2 linked regions of the Xenopus tropicalis genome follow. The protein of the gene in region 1 purifies or fractionates together with the protein of each later gene. This does not show direct contact. Links are inferred from orthologs where the notes say so. Each region holds a gene or a part of one and is shown in the gene's direction. Other genes may lie near its edges.

Region 1 (10,096 bases):
TGTCATGGCTACTAATATAGACAATGCTGATCATTTACTGATGTGTTTTAGCAGAGCAGTTCTCAGTATTGTCTATGGCAGGGTATTTTCTGGCCTTTAGTAGAAATGAAAAGTAACTGCTACTAAGTAGCTCCATGTGTCTTCTCCTTTAGCCACAGCACTCAAGGGTGGGACAAGGCTGGATGCAGTAGCAGGAGGGCTTAATGACGTGAACACTCAGGGTAAGGTCAGGTCAGAACAAGTGATAAACAGAGGCCAAAGGGCAGAACATCCATGCAGAGACAAATTCCAGGGAGAGGTTTGGGCAACAAGGCATCACAAGAACCAAGTTTCTCGGTTTATAATCATGCAGTGAGTTACTACCATGCAGCACACTCCATAATTACTTGGGGACAGGGGGACCCAGATCTTGGGGTCTACTGTATTGTAGTCCCCTACCCTAATGTTTGTTAGGGTGGGGCTGTCTCATCTGAGTTACACCATTATGCATGGGTTGTGGTTTCTTTATAAGGAAAAGCTCATGTCTGCCAATGTATACATATGTGCAGCCTTACACAACTGCGCAGACACGATGTAACGCAAGTACACAGTCAAGCACATCTTTCTTGTACTTTCTTTTTCTTTTATCTCTTACAGTCACACCACGTTACGCATATTTCATTCATTTAAACATTAGTAGTGCTTTTGAAGCAAAGACATTTTTACAAAAAAAGTTCATATTTATCAGAGATAAAAAAAAATATGTCTAACAGAATACAGGTGCATTACGTATAATTATATTTTTTACATATATTGAGAATTTCAGCTCGAGCAATCACGCTGGGTTTCGGGGAAAAATAACTCATTAATTGAGCCATTTTTCCCTAAGTGGGCTTTTTTAATAAGAATAAGTTTGGCAGCTGTTAGGCTTTAATAAATATATCATGCAAGGAATTTGTTTTATTTGAATTCAGAAGTAAAAAAACAACCAGACTGCAGCCTTGTACCTTTATAGTCACTCAGTGACTTCTAATATCCTTATAATTTACAATTGGGGGTATATTATCCCTTATAATATATGAGTGATACTCAGCGTTCCCTGTATAACTCAGCCTGCAGCCTTGTGCCTTTATATGGTCACAGAACCCCTCAGTGTCTGCTAATATCCTTATCATTTACAGTAGGGGGTACATTATCCCTTATAATACATGAGTGATACTCAGAGTTCCCTGTATAACTCAGCCTGCAGCCTTGTGCCTTTATATGGGCACAGAACCCCTCAGTGACTGCTAATATCCTTATCATTTACAGTAGGGGGTACATTATCCCTTATAATACATGAGTGATACTCAGAGTTCCCTGTATAACTCAGCCTGCAGCCTTGTGCCTTTATATGGGCACAGAACCCCTCAGTGACTGCTAATATCCTTATCATTTACAGTAGGGGGTACATTATCCCTTATAATACATGAGTGATACTCAGAGTTCCCTGTATAACTCAGCCTGCAGCCTTGTAAATTCTGTTCACGCAATATTACAGCACCGGGCAGTTGCTTTTTAGCCTTTTTAGCTTTTTTTCACAAATCTAAGGCAAATAGAGGTGTCACACAGTCAGGATGAAGAATCACAAGCCTTTAATAATTCCTGTGGTAATATACACGATTTTATCAAAACACTGTAAGGTGTGAAAATGAAGTGTAAAAAAGTTTTTGCCACACACAGACATTACAATGAATACACATCCCTTATTTAGTATGATTGTGTGAATTTCCGCAATCATTTCTTTACATGGAGACGTCGATATGATTTACCAGTATGTGTGAATATCTATGTTTGTTCCACTCAGTGTTACACACTGGGTATATTTGTGATAGAATTTTAAGCCCTGACAAGATATGAATGTGCTTATCTCCTTGCTCTACACCTCTCATTGTATGAGTGGGAGAAGTTTCCCTTTGCGCTGCTCTTTCACTTACTTCCTAGTGTCTGACAACAGATTTAGGCATCCATTAACGAGTTCAAAATTAAAAGTTCAAAATTCACATTTTTTGTGAAAACAAGATAAAAGAACACAATATAAAAATATAGTGCAGCATTCTTAGAAGCTGATGCACCTGTGCCACACACTTACACACTGTGTCAAAAACACGGATCTTAAAACCAAGTTTAAGAACCCAAATTTAGTGAAATAACATCCTTTTAAGTGCCACACATTAATCAAATCAGTGTATTTAGTGATTAGTAATTGAATTAAATAATGCCAGAGAATTCTCTAGTTGTATGTTTTTGACATGCACAATGGGGGGATTGATTATTTTATTCCTCTCCCCAAAACCATCAGGGACCATTTTTTTTTAATACAAAGAAGGGCTGTAACAATACTCTCAATCAATATATCATTAGTTACGTTTTCCAAACTGGTGCCAATCAGTGGGTAAACAATTACTGCCTGTTACCCCTGTTATGGGCCAAACTGGGCTGATCCAATCTTTTGGCCCTCAGGGGCCAATGGAACCTGCCAGGGGAGGGATGCATAAATTGCAATTTTCAAACCTGCCTGATACAAATCTGTCAGAGCATTACAAGTTTTACACTGTGAAAATCCAAATGATCAGCCATGATCAAAATACCCCCTCCCTGTTACCATTTATTGGAATAGATAATGGGATATCTATGGTATACACATTTCCCTGTTGTTCAAACATATGTATTAATAATTGGTAACTGCCTACTGGCATAATTGTCTGCTGTACAAATACAAAATAGCAGGGATGGAACAGTTATCAGGGATAGGTGCTTTTATATCTGGTTCTGCTTGAAAAGACCATAGTGGTCCATAAGCCTTACAGCAGGGCCACCCAACAGGGGAGCTTTCATTCGCCCACACTGTGAATGGCTGCACTTGAATTTCACTGTTTCTTTATTCAGTGATATACAAGCTTTTCGAATGTCTTAGCAGTATAGACAAGGCTTAGCATGCCAGCTAGAAAACTATGGTTAAATAACCTCAGATTTGTAAAAGTGAACAAGGTGCCCTAATCAATTAAATGAGTAGAGTAGTTAAAGGGTAAAGCTTTCCCAATACCCAGAGGAGAGCAGGAAGAGGGCAGGCACTGAGCAGAATTAAGAAGTGGAGGAGGGACATGAGAACATAAAGTTGGGAAGGAATCCCATTTCTACTAGAAGACCATTAAGTAGGAAAAGGGTTTGGGCCTAGGAGAAAAGGGAAAAGAAAATACTGCATTTTGTCATTGCCACAAAAATAGGTTCATATTCAAAGCTCATTATGAAATTGTAAATATTTCTTAAAATAAAGATGTTCATAACACCTTACTCTAGTCTAGATGGTAAGCGGTAGAGACATTTTCTTCAGTTTGGCAGAGATACTTATTTCCTGTCACTTTCAGGGCTTCTACCTACTGCACGCTGGAACATGAATGGTTACACATTTTTAAAAGATATTTCCTTCTACTGAAGAAACCTGACATATCAGTTAGTTCTATCCAATGCTTACATCTGTCAACCTTGGCAAAGGGTCATCCAATGACACAAATGGACACATTGCCTATCTCTGGGTTTAAATGATGGCTTGACACCAATGAAAAACTTTCATATATGTTACAGAATGACATGGAAGCATACGGCAAAATTTGGATGCCCTGGCTACTGCTTGAAAATGACCCTCAGCTGTTTATGGCTATTAGAGCCTAATCATAGAGTCATATTGCTAACTATAATATAACAAGAGATACCCCCTGTTTCACCAAATCAAAAGGTCCCAGCCACTATAACATCGTCCTTTACTGTAAATAGTTATAATTTCATGTCTTCATACTTACTCCTCTTTTTTACTTTCCTCCCTCCCCCTTTTTTTATTCTCTTTTTCTTTTCATTCTCCTTCTCTTTCCATGTGCTCATTGCCTTACAATAATCTCCTGCCACTCATGCTACCAATCAATAATGACTGTAGTAATGCAGAATATTGTAATGAATAACTTGCTAACAATGTAACGCAACATGGATAATAAAACTAATAAAAATTGTCAGTTTTAAATGATGGCTTGAATGACCACATCTAAAAAGAAGTTGGAGAAAGGTGTGACTTTTCTCAGTTTCAGAATTGCATATGATGGACAGGTTGACCTCAAACCTGGGGTACCTAGGAGATCTGGGTTTAGGTGTATATTTGGGCTACGGGCACCCTAAACAAGTCTTTGACCTCAAAAAGGGTCTTGAACTGGTTAAGTCTGTAAACCACAATCCTAGACCTATGAAGTGGACAAAAAGTTCCTATTGAAGGGGATTGTGGAATTGGTTTATATATCTATTACATGAACAAATATGTTTGACATCCAAAGTTTTGATTAGTTAGACATTGTGCTAATGAACATTCTTCCTCTGAAGGTCATTTCAGCATAAGTTTTGTTTTTTTAATTAAATTTTGTTGGGTTTTTTTTTCCATTGAAACAAGATAAAATGCCTGGACTTTGCATGCACATAAAGATTTGTGAAAGCAATGAAGTATAAATAGGTACATTTTCAAAAGAAAATCTGTATATTTAATTGTACTGTGGACTGAAGGTAAGAATACATGATAATCATGTATTCTTACTTCAGTCCACAGTACGAAGAAATAAAGAAAATTGTCGATAAAAATTGTACCATTTTAAAAACTGATTCCACCTTAAGACAAATTTTGGATAATGGTTAAAAATACGTGAGGGCTTGGCCAACAAGAGAGTGTGAAAAACAATGGAATATTGATTGGTCCTGGTTATTATTGTATTGGCTAGTAAAAAAAATGTGTTGACGCTAATGTTATCAGTGGGCCTTACCAGTTCCTTCATATATACATTTCTCATAATGTACAGTACCCGCTACACTCAGTATCTTTCTTTACATTCACTTAACTACTGTTCCCTCCTTTTCAGAAAATACGTGCTCTCCGTGGCTCCATTGACTTGGCTCGGATTAAATGTGTCGAGATTGTTACCACTGATCTCAGCATTGCTTGCAGGAACAAATACCCATTTCAGGTAAGGCAAATAAGATATATACATACATTCTAATTATGTGCGGGCTAATCCGAAAAACACATCTGACCTGCGGGTTTACTGGCGGCTGACAATTAGGCCACCACATCCAAGTCCTGTGCGGGTTGTACTTGCCCTGCTGCAGCTGGGCTCCCTCATCATCAATGGGGTGGTGGAATTTTTTTCCCAACCTCGGGCAGGGTCAGGCCTAGGTTGAGAACAGGCAGGTAAGTGTGTGTCCAGGTTGGAAATTTTCCACTAATTTTAGCACTAATACATACATTTATTTGGTGATTAAAAAGGACAATGATCCAAATTAAATTCATTGAGAAAACTCATTGAACTGTATTGGAAATCTGGAACTGAGTTGGGAGACAGATGGCCTTTAGCCAAATAAGCATGACAAGTGCCCTGTCTCATGCACCATAACATTATAATGGTATTAACCGGCAGGAACCTATCCACATTGGGTATTCTTAGACCCTTATTTCTCTTTTCAGGTTATCCATGATTATTTTCTGTACGTCTTTGCTCCTGACAGAGAGAGTCGTCAAAAGTGGGTGCTGGCACTGAAAGAAGGTAACACGACTTTGGTATTTCCTATTGAGTCCTATTCAGCCAAGCTGTTTGTTTTCTGTGTGTGATAATAAAACTGATCCTTCTACTGCAGTGATTCCCAACCAGTGGCTCGGGGGCAACATGCTGCTCACCAACCCAGTGGATGTTGCTCTCAGTGCCCCCAAACCAGATTTTTTTTTTAATTCCTGACTTGGTGGCAAGTTTTGGTTGAATAAAAACAAGATTTAGTACCAAATAAAGCCCCCTGTAAGCTGATAGGGTGCATAGAGGCTACCTAATAGCTATTCTTAGCCCCTATTTTGCACCTCCATGAAGTTTTATGATGCTTGTGCTGCTCTCCAAGTCTTTTTACATTTGACTGTGGCTCACAAGTAAGAAAGGTTGGGGGTCCCTGTTCTACTGGATGGGAACTAAGCTGCATTAATCTAAATGGATGATGACAAAACAATTCTAATGGGCTTTTTAAATATTTAGTATTTAAAGTGGACCCGTCACCCAGACATAAAAAACTGTATAATAAAAGCCCTTTTCAAATTAAACATGTAACCAAAAGTCATTTTTTTATTAACACATCTATACCCATTATATAAGCATTTAAAAGTCCCAGCTGTCAATCATATATTGCCTGACCCTCCTCTATGCCTTAGGCATAGGGGTGGGGCAGACAGTTACTTTCACTTTCAATTCAGAACTTCGTAGATGTCACTGCACTCCTCACATTCCCCTTCCCTCCTCACCATCTAATTGTGTAACCAGTGCATGGACTTGGGCATCAGGTACCCCCATAGTGGCACAGGAAGAATGCACAGCTTGCCTTAATAACAGTGTCCACAAAATGGAGCCTGCCTGTTTTCTGCAATGGTGAATTCCAGTGCTGAAGGAAATAAGTTTAAAAAAAATTGATATAGTGTAACTAAAGTTTATTTTGCTTGACAAACACAATAGAAAACAATTTGTAATTATTTCTTAGGGTGACATGTCCCCTTTAAGAAATGATGATGCAAATTATAAAAGAAAACCCTGTGTCTGCAAACCCCTAGGTCCCTAGCTTCTAGATAACAAATTTGCAGATAAAGAGATACACTCTTAAGGCAGTGGTACACGGGGAGATTAGTCGCCCGAGACAAATCTTTGTTGTCGCGGGCAACTAATCTCCCCGCAATGCCATACTTTGTCACCTCTAAACACCAGCCATAGGCAATGACTTGTGTGACTAAAGCTGGCAACACACTGATCTACCAGGTAATCAGAGTGTCCTGAACTGTGGGGCTGGCCACCCTTGGGAGATTCTGGTAGATCAAAGCATGTGTCTACAAGTAACTGGGTGTTCCTAGTGGATCAGAGTGTGGGCTTAAGTGTTCTTATTTTTAAATGTTTGGGGGCCATAAATGTCTCTCAGTGTCCACTTTCTCTCTGCAGAGACCAAAGACAATGACTTTCTTGTGGCTAAATATCACTCCAACTTCTGGTTGGAAGGGAGATGGAGATGTTGCTTCCAGACAGAGAAAATGGCCACCGGCTGTGCCTTGTACGACAGGAGCAAAGATGGTGAGTGATGTCCTTCCCTCTGTCTTGTTATGCTGTGTGTCTTGCCTGTTATAGCATGCATTGTTATTATTGGCAAACGATGCACACTTGTGGTTACCTTCAATGTTAAGTCTTCCAATAAGTGAGCTCTTTTACACGGCAGTCCGGAGTCTGTGGTACAAAATTCTAATCACTGGTGGTTGCTTAATATAAGGGAACCCATGTGATTATCCCATTAAGGGGTGTATAGTGGGATGGTAAAATACATGTTTTTAAACTATATATTTCCTTTAATTGTGCCCCAGGGAGACTCTCTCTGTGAACCATCCTCCGTGTTTCATGTTTCTCCCAATCCCACTGGTCATATCACCATGACCCATTAGAATATACGTTGACTACGGCTTTTGTATATATACTGTACAATGTCTGGTCTCTATACAGGAACGTCAGAATCAGTTTATCTCTTTTTATAAGCACTGATGTAATGACTCCATATGTCCTCTTTTATCTGATTGTGGTGAGGAATATTTACAGCAGTTGATCCTATCAGAGCTCTATAACAGGCTGCACATCCTGTCCATCAAAGTGTATCATGTACAGTACATTATATCTGAGCAATGCCCCTGCACCAGTTCTACCTTGGCATTCACATTTAGTGCAGAGTACAGTGAGCTTATGTAAGACATATAAGGCTCTGAATGAAACTTGCCCCTGCAGAATGGCATGCTGGTAAGGGTACAGGAAACCCATGTGCCATCTTTTATATTACAGGCGCAAGCTGCATTGTAAGTGGATGATATTTACAGTAGGCAAAAATATGGCGCTTTGCACCACATTTTTTTGTACTTTGCACATTGCCCCATATTTGTATATGAGTGCCCAATGTCTCCTAAGCTACTGAACAAGCTTCTGGGACAACTGGAACTTTTAAACCAAATGAGAGATTAGTTTATATGGATTGCTGGAAGGGGGCACAATGTTTGCATCTTATTACATAAGCCTGTCGGCAAAATGTCCAGGCCTTTTTGGCATGGAAGTAGGACTAGGTTATATCAGGTTGGCAAGAATGTATCATACCTGTGGTGTTGAAATACAATATTTTAAATTATAAGGGCCAAAATATACCTACTACATTACTCCACTAAAGGGTTTGTTGATCTTTAGATTACCTTTTAGTATGACATAGATATTGATAGACATTTTGCAACTAGTTTTCGTTTTTTAATTTTTGTGGTTTTTATTTTCAGTTATTTAGTTAGTTTATTTAGTTAAGCAGCTCTCCGCATTGGAACTTCAGGTCTTGTTTATCTTAGCAACTAGTCAGTGAGAGACTTGAATATGAAAATGAGAATGAATAAAATAATAAAAAGATAATAAATAAAAAGTAACAATAATAATAAAGTTTGTAACTTTACAGTGCAATAGTTTTTTGGATTCTGGGGTTAGTGACCCTAATTTGAAAGCTGGAAAATAATTTAGAAACTATAAAAAATAGATAATGAAGACCGAATTGCTAAGTTGCTATGAACAGGGCATTCTATAGCATACTAAGAGCAACTTAAAGGTGAACCACCCCTTTAATGGTTTATTGTTTTCTCTGGAAAACATGATTAGTCTGTATATTAGAGGGGGTTATAGACAGATAGGGGGTGTCCTTTTCTCCCATAAAACTTTCATTTGAAGTAGCGTAGATGGTTTTCACGGTGAGGGCAGTGAGGTTGGGGAATGCCCTTCCTAGTGATGCTGTAATGGCAGATTCTGTTAATGCCTATAAGAGGGACCTGGATGAGTTCTTGAACAAGCATTGTATCCAAGGCTATTGGTATATATGATCTATGTATGGGAGTGTATAGATAGGTCAGTTATGTGAGTGGATAGATGGGTCAGTATGGGTCTGTATGTGAGTGGATAGATGGGTCAGTATGGGTCTGTATGTGAGTGTATAGATAGGTCAGTATGGGTCTGTATGTGAGTGTAAAGATAGGTCAGTATGGGTCTGTATGTGAGTGGATAGATAGGTCAGTGTGGGTCTGTATGTGAGTGGATAGATAGGTCAGTGTGGGTCTGTATGTGAGTGGATAGATGGGTCAGTGTGGGTCTGTATGTGAGTGGATAGATAGGTCAGTATGGGTCTGTATGGGAGGGGATAGATAGGTCAGTATGGGTCTGTATGGGAGGGGATAGATAGGTCAGTATGGGTCTGTATGTGAGTGGATAGATGGGTCAGTGTGGGTCTGTATGTGAGTGGGTCAGTGTGGGTCTGTATGTGAGTGGATAGATGGGTCAGTGTGGGTCTGTATGTGAGTGGATAGATAGGTCAGTATGGGTCTGTATGTGAGTGTATAGATGGGTCAGTGTGGGTCTGTATGTGAGTGGATAGATAGGTCAGTATGGGTCTGTATGTGAGTGGATAGATAGGTCAGTGTGGGTCTGTATGTGAGTGGATAGATAGGTCAGTATGGGTCTGTATGTGAGTGGATAGATGGGTCAGTGTGGGTCTGTATGTGAGTGGATAGATGGGTCAGTGTGGGTCTGTATGTGAGTGGATAGATAGGTCAGTGTGGGTCTGTATGTGAGTGGATAGATGGGTCAGTATGGGTCTGTATGTGAGTGGATAGATAGGTCAGTGTGGGTCTGTATGTGAGTGTATAGATAGGTCAGTATGGGTCTGTATGTGAGTGGATAGATAGGTCAGTATGGCTCTGTATGTGAGTGGATAGATAGGTCAGTATGGGTCTGTATGTGAGTGGATAGATAGGTCAGTGTGGGTCTGTATGTGAGTGGATAGATAGGTCAGTGTGGGTCTGTATGTGAGTGGATAGATAGGTCAGTATGGGTCTGTATGTGAGTGTACAGATAGGTAAGTATAGGTTTGTATGTGCTGGGTTTGCTTGGAAGGGTTGAACTTGATGGACATTGGTCTTTTTTTAACCCAGCGTAACTATGTAACTTTGTAAAAAGAAAGTTACTAGACTCGA
Region 2 (10,745 bases), on another chromosome or scaffold:
AGGGACAATAGATTGTAAGCTCACTGGGGCAGGGACTGATGGGAATAGGATAGAGACCTTAGATTGTAGCTCACTGGGGCAGGGGCTGATGGGAATGGGATAGGGACCTTAGATTGTAAGCTCACTGGGGCAGCGGGCTGATGGGAATGGGATAGGGACAATTAGATTGTAAGCTCCACTGGGGCAGGGACTGATGGAATAGGATAGAGACCTTACATGTAAACTCACTGGGCATGGGACTGGATGGGAATGGGATAGGGACCTTAGATTGTAAGCTCACTGGGGCAAAGGGACTGATGGGATTGGGAATAGGGACCATTAGATTGTAAGCCTCACTGGGGCAGGGGCTGATGGGAAATGGGATAGGGACCTTAGCAATTGTAAAGCTCATCGGGGCAGGGACTGATGGGATTGGGATAAGGGACCTTAGATTGTAAGTCACTGGGCAATGGGATAGGGACGATTGTAAGCTTCACTGGGGCAGGGCTGATGGGAATGGGATAGGGACCTTAGATTGTAAGCTACTGGGGCAGGACTATGGGAATGGGATAGGGAACTTAGATTGTAAGCTCACTGGGCAGGGACTGATGGGAATGGGATAGGGCCCTTAGATTGTAAGCTCACTGGGGCATGGAATGAATGGAATGGGATAGGGAACCTTCAGATTGTAAGCTACTGGGGCGGGGCTGATGGGAATGGGATAGGGACCTTAAGATTGTAGCTCCATGGCGGCAGGGACTGATGGGAATAGCATCACCTCAACATTTGAAAATGAAAAGAGGGACAAAAAGATTGGTGGTGCGCATCGCGGCAATTTTTTGACCACGCCCACTTTTGTGGCCGCCGCAATTACGATACACACACATCCATTTTTTTTCCCAAAAATTCTCCTTTTATAATAGCTGAAATGCGGGATCAGATGCCAATGTGCTATTCCCTCATACTGGTACTAACTAAGGGGAAACATATAGCAACTCCTCATATAAATACAAATATAGAGGACAGGCAGTGAGTTATTAGTGAGTTATAACTATTCTACCGTTTTCCCCCATAACACAGTGCCCAATGCTAAAGACAGTACTATATATACAGTGCCCCATTGAGACAGTGCCGCCGATACACAGTGGCCTCCAATTGAGACATCCCCCATAACAGTGCCCCAATTGAGACAGTCCCGCCATACACAGTGCCCCCCAATTGAGAGTCCCCCCTCACGTGCCCAATTGAGACAGTCCCCCCATACACATTGAGCACAGTCCCACCCCATAACAGTGCCCAATTTGAGACGTCCCCCATAGCACAGTGCCCCAATTGAGACATCCCCCATACACGTATTGAGACAGTCCCCCCATACCAGTCCCCAATTGAGACGTCCCCCATACACAGTCCCAATTGGACCGTCCCCCCATACACAGTGCCCCAATTGAGACAGTCCCACCCCATACACAGTGCCCCCAATTGAGACAGTCCCACCCCATACACAGTGCCCCCAATTGAGACAGTCCCCCCCATACACAGTGCCCCCAATTGAGACAGTGCCCCATACACAGTGCCATTAGAAGCACATACAAGTGCCCCCAATTGAGACAGTGCCCCCATACACAGTGCCCCCAATTGAGACAGTCCCACCCCATACACAGTGCCCCCAATTGAGACAGTGCCCCCATACACAGTGCCCCAATTGAGACAGTTCCCACCCCATACACAGTGCCCCCAATTGAGACAGTCCCACCCCATACACAGTGCCCCCAATTGAGACAGTGCCCCCAATTGAGACAGTCCCACCCCATACACAGTGCCCCCAATTGAGACAGTCCCACCCCATACACAGTGCCCCCAATACAGACAGCGCTCCCTTCTTCTTCGTCCGCAGCGGCTCCTCAGTGTATGCGGCTCCTTCTCCGGCGGTCCCTGGCCCTTTTATAAGGTTGCGCCCGTGCGTAATGACGTCACCCGTGCGTAAGGGCGCAACCTTATAAAAGGACCTGGGACCGCCGGAGAAGGAGCCGCATACACTGAGGAGCCGCTGGGGAGGAAGGAGCGCCGACGCATCCCGCTGTCCCGGGTAAGTCAATGAATGTTCCGCATTTCCGTAATTTATTACGGAAATGCGGGACATTCATGGAACTATCCGGGACAGCGGGATGCGCTCTAAAATCTGGGACTGTCCCGCGGAAAGCGGGACAGTTGGGAGGTATGGGAATGGGATAGGGACCTTAGATTGTAAGCTCACTGGGGCAGGGACTGATGGGAATGGGATAGGGACCTTAGATTGTAAGCTCACTGGGGCAGGGACTGATGGGAATGTGATAGGGACCTTAGATTGTAAGCTCACTGGGGCAGGGACTGATGGGAATGGGATAGGGACCTTAGATTGTAAGCTCACTGGGGCAGGGGCTGATGGGAATGTGATAGGGACCTTAGATTGTAAGCTCACTGGGGCAGGGGCTGATGGGAATGTTATAGGGACCTTAGATTGTAAGCTCACTGGGGCAGGGACTGATGGGAATGTTATAGGGACCTTAGATTGTAAGCTCACTGGGGCAGGGACTGATGGGAATGGGATAGGGACCTTAGAGTGTAAGCTCACTGGGGCAGGGGCTGATGGGAATGTGATAGGGACCTTAGATTGTAAGCTCACTGGGGCAGGGGCTGATGGGAATGGGATAGGGACCTTAGATTGTAAGCTCACTGGGGCAGGGACTGATGGGAATGGGATAGGGGCCTTAGATTGTAAGCTCACTGGGGCAGGGACTGATGGGAATGTGATAGGGACCTTAGATTGTAAGCTCACTGGGGCAGGGGCTGATGGGAATGGGATAGGGATCTTAGATTGTAAGCTCACTGGGGCAGGGACTGATGGGAATGGGATAGGGACCTTAGATTGTAAACTCACTGGGGCAGGGACTGATGGGAATGTGATAGGGACCTTAGATTGTAAGCTCACTGGGGCAGGGACTGATGGGAATGGGATAGGGACCTTAGATTGTAAGCTCACGGGGCAGGGGCTGATGGGAATGGGATAGGGACCTTAGATTGTAAGCTCACTGGGGCAAGGGACTGATGGGATGGATAGGGGCCCTTAGATTGTAAGTCACTGGGGCAGGGGCTGATGGGATGTGATAGGGACTTAGATTGTAAGCTCACTGGGGCAGGGGTGATGGGAATGTGATAGGGACCTTAGATTGTAGCTCACTGGGGCAGGGGCTGATGGGAATGTGATAGGGACCTTAGATTGTAAGCTCACTGGGGCAGGGCTGATGGGAATGGATAGGGACCTTAGATTGTAAGCTCACTGGGGCAGGGCTGATGGGAATGTGATAGGGACCTTAGATTGTAAGCTCACTGGGCAGGGACTGATGGAATGGGATAGGGACCTTTAGATTGTAAGCTCACTGGGCAGGGGCTGATGGGAAGGGACTTAGAGGTGTAAGCTCCTGGGGCAGGGGCTGATGGGAATGGGATGGGACTTAGATTGTAAGCTCACTGGGCAGGGGCTGATAGGGAATGTGATAGGGACCTTAGATTGTAAGCTCACTGGGGGCAGGGGCTGATGGGAATGGGAATAGGGACCATTAGATTGTAAGCTCACTGGGCAGGGGCTGATGGGAATGTGATAGGGGACCTTAGATTGTAGCTCACTGGGGCAGGGGCTGATGGGAATGGGATAGGGACCTTAGATTGTAAGCTCACTGGGGCAGGGGCTGATGGGAATGGGGATAGGACCTTAGATTGTAAGCTCACTGGGCAGGGACTGATGGAATGGATAGGGGCCTTAGATTGTAAGCTCACTGGGGCAGGGGCTGATGGGAATGGATAGGGACCTTAGATTGTTTAGCTCACTGGGGCAGGGGCTGATGGGAATGGGATAGGGACCTTAGATTGTAAGCTCACTGGGGCAGGGACTGATGGAATCGGGATAGGGCCTTAGATTGTAAGCTCACTGGGGCAGGGACTGATGGGAATGGGATAGGGACATTAGAGTGTAAGCTCACTGGGGCAGGGGCTGATGGGAATGGGATAGGGACATTAGAGTGTAAGCTCACTGGGGCAGGGGCTGATGGGACAGAATACCAGGGCTACAGAAATAAAACAACCAAATAAACCCTTTATCTTCCCATGTGACTCAGCAGCCATTTGTCCCTGCAGTTAGTGACGTAACAGGAGCCTTGCCCCTCCCACTAGCCTGGCCCCTCCCACAAACAACAGAGGGCGAGCGGAATGACAAAGCAGCAGATGGCGGCAGCGGGGCTGAAGGGTTCATTTGCCTCACAGACAAGGAAGAAGGGGCGGGGCAGGGGAGAGGCAGGGGAGGGACAAAAGGCGGAGTCACTAGAGAAACTACTAGAAAATTACACTACCTCCTCCGCTTGGTATCCTCCCGCCAAGGAAAAAAAATAGTCCCAGCAGCATTTGCTATAAGGAGGGAACCTCCCGGGCCGGCCAGAGGGGGCGCTGTGAGTGAGTGCTGAGTAACACAGAGTTGCGCATGCTCAGTTCCCTGAGGAGAGACGCACTCGGTAGTTTGATTATTGCAGCTGGGCTGAAAGGCGAAATCCCAGATCCGTACTGGGAAGCCCTGGTCCCACGGAGCTACTGCCCGCACTCTCTCTCACTGCGGCTCCGCGTACTCAGCCCTAGCTGCAAATAGTGCCGGCACTGGTGCAGGCGGAGGGATCTGGGGCTGCTCTCCGCCCAGTATAAAAGGTGCCCGGCTGCTTGTTTCTTTCCTCTTCATTCACCAATTCCCCAGCAGTGTTCGGCCGCGGAGATCCTTAAGCAGCCAAGGTACCCGGGGGGGCATTGTGTGGGGCTGCTGGGGGCATTGTGTGGGGCTGCTGGGGGCATTGTGAGGGGCTGCTGGGGGGGGCATTGTGAGGGGCTGCTGGGGGGGGCATTGTGAGGGGCTGCTGGGGGGATAGTGAGGGGCTGCTGGGGGGCAGCGGGCTGGGTATTGGCACTTGGGAGTCCGAGTGGGGCAATGGCTGGAGAAACTGAGGCAGGAGCCATAGTAGCGGGGAGAGGGGCAGTTAGATGGGGGAGAGGGGCAGTTAGATGGGGGAGAGGGGCAGTTAGATGGGGGAGAGGGGCAGTTAGATGGGGGAGAGGGGACATTATCGTTGAGGCGAATTCGGGGCCCCTGTAATTCTCTACGGGAAAGGTTCATTCTGTGTATTATTCCCGGGGTTTCCCTAACTGTCAGTCCCGGCCCCGCCCCCCGGCCCTGGAACCTTCTAGATCTTTCTACCCCCCCCCGCGGGTGGGGGCGCACATGGTTAGGGAGCCGGTAGCGCCGCCATGTTGGGATGAAGCGCGTCACAGCCGGGGCCGGGCCGTGTATCCATGGTAACGGCTCCCCCTGCGCCCGGTCATGGTCTGTCCCGCTGCTGCTTGCGCCGTATGGGCTGGTCCATGTGTTCCCTCTGCTGGGGGGGGGGGAACGAATAACACTGACAGCTGCCCCACACCCGGGGCTCCTGTTGCCCCCCACACCCGGGGCTCCTGTTGCCCCCCACACCCGGGGCTCCTGTTGCCCCACACCCAGCGGGACAGGTCGCAAATGTCTTTCAGCCCAAAATCGGGGGAGGGGGGATTTAAAAGCTTCTCACAGGGTCTTAAAGGGCCAGTACCCCCAGTTACTCAGTGTGAGCTCAATGAGTAGAGCAAGTTCTGCACAGAGATCTGCCTGTTGCTGTAAGGAGATAATAGGACTTATTTAATATAAATATATTTCTCTAACCAGGGTGGAACTGAAAGTAAAAGTCCCTTACATGGCTGCTGTGAAGCCTCTATATAAACAAACCCCTCCCTTTCCCCAATGGCAGGGTGTGAGTGTTATACAGAGGCTGCTGCTTTGTTTCCATTCTGCTCATAAGAGCAGGAAGTAGAATGTTGCATAGGAGGGGGCAGTTATACGGCCCCTGGTGTTGCACGGGGCAATAGTCCTGCCTAAGACCCAGCTGACTCTCGTTCCCTTACACAGATGCCTGAAGTCGCTCACAATGGAGAGGAGGAGGTGGAGACATTTGCCTTCCAGGCGGAGATTGCGCAGCTCATGTCCCTCATCATCAACACCTTCTACTCCAACAAAGAAATCTTCCTGCGAGAGTTGATCTCCAACGCCTCCGACGTAAGTCTGTCCTTGGCTGCCTATGTGCCAACTGTGCCAGTGCCCAAGCACCCATATGTGGGGGGAGGGGGTATCTGAACTAAAGCAGAGCTGGCCTCTTGGCTCAGCTAGTGATAGAATGGTGTGTGTGCTCTGCAGCCAAGCTGTTATATTAGTAGGTATTGTGGCAGCTTCACTGCCTGTTGCATAGGGGTCTGGGGGGACTGTTATAATGAGGGGGGGGGGGCCCTCTGGGCTAGTAGCCACTCTCTGCCAATCCTCAACCTTCTCCCCATTGTTCGGTGCCGCAGGCCCTGGATAAGATCCGATACGAGAGTCTGACCGATCCCTCCAAGCTGGACAGCGGCAAAGACCTGAAGATCGACATCATTCCCAACCGCCAGGAGCGCACACTGACTGTCATCGACACCGGGATTGGCATGACCAAGGCCGACCTCATCAACAACCTGGGAACCATCGCCAAGTCCGGCACCAAGGCTTTCATGGAGGCCCTGCAGGTCGGTACCAGCGGCCCAATATAAAGCATTGACTATTAAATGCTGGCGCATTAAGTACCGTCCACTAGCCAGTGGTGTCTCCCTGAAGTCCAATTGAGTTGTGGTTCCTTCTCTCTGACAGGCTGGTGCTGACATCTCTATGATTGGTCAGTTCGGTGTGGGTTTCTATTCTGCGTACTTGGTGGCAGAGAAGGTCTTGGTCATCACCAAACACAACGATGATGAACAGTACGCGTGGGAATCCTCCGCCGGCGGCTCTTTCACCGTGAAGACTGACCATGGTGAGTTTGTGTTCAATTGGACCAGAATTCCCCTAAAGGCCTGTAAGTTGGCACCACTAACCCCAAACTGGTATTTCCTGCTAGGTGAGCCCATTGGCCGTGGTACCAAAGTCATCCTCTACCTGAAGGAAGATCAGACAGAGTACCTGGAGGAGAAACGTGTCAAGGAAACCGTGAAGAAACACTCGCAGTTCATTGGCTACCCAATCACCCTCTATGTGAGTATGGCCGGCCAGCTGGGGGCAGGGCCCTGGGTCTGATGTACGATTGGCTCACTATTTGTCTCCCCGACAGCTGGAGAAGGAGAGGGAAAAGGAGATCAGCGACGATGAGGCAGAGGAGGAGAAAGAGGAAGAAAAGAAGGAAGAGGAGGGAGAGAACGACAAACCTAAAATAGAGGACGTGGGCTCCGATGAGGAAGAGGAGGGGAAGGACAAGAAGAAAAAGACAAAGAAGATCAAGGAGAAGTACATCGACCAGGAGGAGCTGAACAAAACCAAGCCCATCTGGACCCGTAACCCAGACGACATCACCCAGGAAGAGTACGGAGAGTTCTACAAGAGCCTGACCAATGACTGGGAGGATCACTTGGCTGTGAAGGTAAGAAGAAAAAAAAACCCCATAATGCACCGCTTGTTCAGCTCTGGGTTCCACACTCTCTCCTGAGCGCTAACACCCCCTGTTCTGCTTCCCCCCAGCACTTCTCTGTGGAGGGGCAACTGGAGTTCCGCGCTCTGCTCTTCATTCCCCGCCGCGCCCCCTTTGATCTGTTTGAGAACAAGAAGAAGAAGAACAACATCAAGCTGTACGTGCGCCGCGTCTTCATCATGGATAGCTGCGACGAGCTGATCCCAGAGTATCTGAGTAAGTACTGGCCCGAAGCTTAGTGGGCCCCCTCCTTCCCCCCCCCCCCATAGGATGGGATGCTGGGTAAAGCCTTCCAATAGTCTGGCATTAGATGCTTCATTAACAGTCTAGCATGTAGATCTTTTGCTTGATGTGGTGACACAGGCAGGCAGGGCCCCACGCACACCCATAGGCACACAGGCAGGCAGGTAAGTGTGTGGGGGGGCAGGGGCAATTAATTGCCTATTGTAGTATTTCAGCCCAAGAATCCTTGTCTCTTACGCACAGGCCTCTTGGTGCACTCGCGTATCTATAAGGGGAAGACACACGGAGCTACTAGTAGCAGCTACAGAAACAGACAATGTTGATCATTTGCTGATAATTGTCTCTACGTGTGTCTAGCAGAAGGAATTCTCAGTATTGTCTATGGCAGGGGATTTGGTAGCTGCTACTAAGCTGCGCACACACACACGTAGGCACACAGGGCCCCACAGATGGATCCTGAATGTAGGACTTTTGGGCAGTCTCTCCCTGTGCCGCCTCTAACTCTTTTCTCTCTTCCAGACTTCATTCGCGGGGTGGTGGATTCTGAGGATCTGCCCTTGAACATTTCCCGTGAGATGCTGCAGCAGAGCAAGATCCTGAAGGTGATCCGCAAGAACATTGTCAAGAAGTGCCTGGAGCTCTTCACCGAGCTGGCCGAGGACAAGGAGAACTACAAGAAGTTTTACGAGGCTTTCTCCAAGAACCTGAAGGTGAGCAGTGCAGGAGGGTGCCCTGGGCTGTAGTGGGCGGAGCTCTTGTTCGTCCCAGTGGCTCTTGCTGACCTACCTCTCCTTGCAGCTCGGCATCCACGAGGATTCTACCAACCGCAAGAAGCTGTCTGAGCTCCTCAGGTACCACACTTCCCAGACAGGCGACGAGATGGCCTCCCTAACAGAGTATGTGTCCCGTATGAAGGAGAACCAGAAAAGCATCTACTACATAACTGGTAAGTGGCCCTTGCAGCAAGATATCCCATTATGGGCTCCCCTGGGAGAGAGGGGTATTCCTCTTCCCCTGGGGTCACTTCTCCGCAGCTCGCTTAGAGGAAGAGTCTGACACGTGACCCCTCTGTTCTGTCTCGCAGGTGAGAGCAAGGACCAGGTGGCCAACTCCGCCTTCGTGGAGCGGGTGAGGAAGCGTGGCTTCGAGGTGGTCTACATGACTGAGCCCATCGACGAGTACTGCGTGCAGCAGCTGAAGGAGTTCGACGGGAAGACGCTGGTGTCTGTGACCAAGGAGGGCCTGGAGCTGCCAGAGGACGAGGAAGAGAAGAAGATGATGGAAGAGAACAAGACCAAATTTGAGAGTTTGTGCAAACTGATGAAGGAAATTCTGGACAAGAAAGTAGAGAAGGTGAGGATGGGGCAGAAGGAAGTAATGTTGCCCCTCCCCTAGTATAGCCTTGTCCTGCTAACCCCCAACCTGCCCCTTGTTACCCCGCAGGTCACCGTGTCCAACAGACTCGTCTCCTCTCCCTGCTGTATCGTCACCAGCACCTACGGCTGGACCGCCAACATGGAGCGCATCATGAAAGCGCAAGCTCTGCGGGACAATTCCACCATGGGCTACATGATGGCTAAGAAGCACTTGGAGATCAACCCCGAGCACCCCATCGTGGAGACCCTGAGGCAGAAAGCGGAAACCGACAAGAACGACAAAGCAGTGAAGGACCTGGTGGTGCTGCTCTTCGAGACCGCGCTGCTGTCATCCGGCTTCTCCCTGGACGACCCCCAGACGCACTCAAACAGGATCTACAGGATGATCAAGCTGGGTCTGGGTAGGTGTCGCTGAGCATTATGGGAATGGCTACCAGAATCCTTCTGCCATAAAGGGGATTTGTATGTAGGGTCCTGAAACCACCACATTTAGGGTTAACTTCCCCTTGTCTCTCTCAGGTATTGATGATGACGATGCAACAGTGGAGGAAACTTCCCCCTCGGTGGCAGACGAGATCCCACCCCTAGAGGGCGACGAAGATGCTTCTCGCATGGAGGAAGTCGACTAATCGGTTTGCTGCCCGCTCGTCCTGCCCCCTCCCACCCGCGTATGTGCACTGTCTGTAACTCGGTAGGGGGGCGACTTCTCCCTTGGACTCTAAATATCACATGATACTGGGGATGGACTTCCCTCCTTATAGAATATATTTGGGGGAGCTTCAAGACTGATGGCTGCTGACTTTAACCCTTTCCTCTGCACCCCCCTTGTTGTGTTCCAGTCTGAGCAGTTAGTTATGTAAGTTATTGTAGCAGTATGGCAGCTAGCTTGGCTTGAGGTAGCCCTGAGTTAGTGGCCCGCTGTTAGCCAGCTGCTGGGGGGGGGGGTCTGTTTGACTCTCTCAATGCACCTTACAGGCCCCCCCTCTAATCCTACCCTCTGCCACTATTGTAATGGGCGTGTCCCTCTGTGCCCCCCCTGAGGCACGGGGGGTACTTACTGGGAAGCTTTAGAGACCCCCCTGCTGCCTTCTCCCATTCACTTGCATGGGGGGGGCGATTGAATGTGCTGGTGTTTGCAAATAGAAACGCCAGGCCAGTCTGGGGGGGTGAGGTACTTCTGCCCAATGCTACCTCAATCTGTAGCACCCCCAAATCTGCTGAGTGGTAGCCCCCATCTCTCTGACTGGAATCTCGTGCCCCCGCCCCCAGGATGTCTTGAATGCTGAGACCCCACCCCCATCCTACACATCTCTCTATCGAGAGCCTCAATACGGAACTTTATTTTATTTTTTGTTGTTGTAAAGTTGAGAAATGTTGCGCAAAATAAAGATCTTTTTACAGTGAAACAGTTTGTCTCCTGTTTATGTGCTGCCGACTGCACCGGATACAATGCTGTGTTACAGGGCTGTTTCCCCAACTATAAACCTTATGTGCAGTAGTTACAGCCTTGGATTTCTATAAGGCTTGGGATACTGGCATGATATTTATGGGACACTTTGTATCTCTAACA

The links.
Region 2: the proteins of itk (region 1) and hsp90ab1 purify together in Homo sapiens (affinity purification with mass spectrometry; 3 studies listed by BioGRID and IntAct, with this or other methods). This does not show direct contact. The link is inferred for Xenopus tropicalis from reciprocal best matches to the Homo sapiens genes ITK and HSP90AB1.

Annotation. Positions count from the first base shown.
Region 1 is NC_030679.2:14,165,774-14,175,869, reverse strand, and holds part of itk (tyrosine-protein kinase ITK/TSK), read left to right. Parts: intron 1-4,910; coding exon 4,911-5,015; intron 5,016-5,512; coding exon 5,513-5,591; intron 5,592-7,010; coding exon 7,011-7,139; intron 7,140-10,096. UniProt on the Homo sapiens protein: Tyrosine kinase that plays an essential role in regulation of the adaptive immune response. Regulates the development, function and differentiation of conventional T-cells and nonconventional NKT-cells.
Region 2 is NC_030681.2:2,231,952-2,242,696, reverse strand, and holds hsp90ab1 (heat shock protein HSP 90-beta), read left to right. Parts: upstream 1-4,742; 5' UTR 4,743-4,788; intron 4,789-5,983; coding exon 5,984-6,130; intron 6,131-6,420; coding exon 6,421-6,627; intron 6,628-6,748; coding exon 6,749-6,908; intron 6,909-6,992; coding exon 6,993-7,126; intron 7,127-7,202; coding exon 7,203-7,508; intron 7,509-7,606; coding exon 7,607-7,772; intron 7,773-8,318; coding exon 8,319-8,509; intron 8,510-8,597; coding exon 8,598-8,745; intron 8,746-8,883; coding exon 8,884-9,152; intron 9,153-9,242; coding exon 9,243-9,576; intron 9,577-9,694; coding exon 9,695-9,804; 3' UTR 9,805-10,581; downstream 10,582-10,745. UniProt on the Homo sapiens protein: Molecular chaperone that promotes the maturation, structural maintenance and proper regulation of specific target proteins involved for instance in cell cycle control and signal transduction. Undergoes a functional cycle linked to its ATPase activity.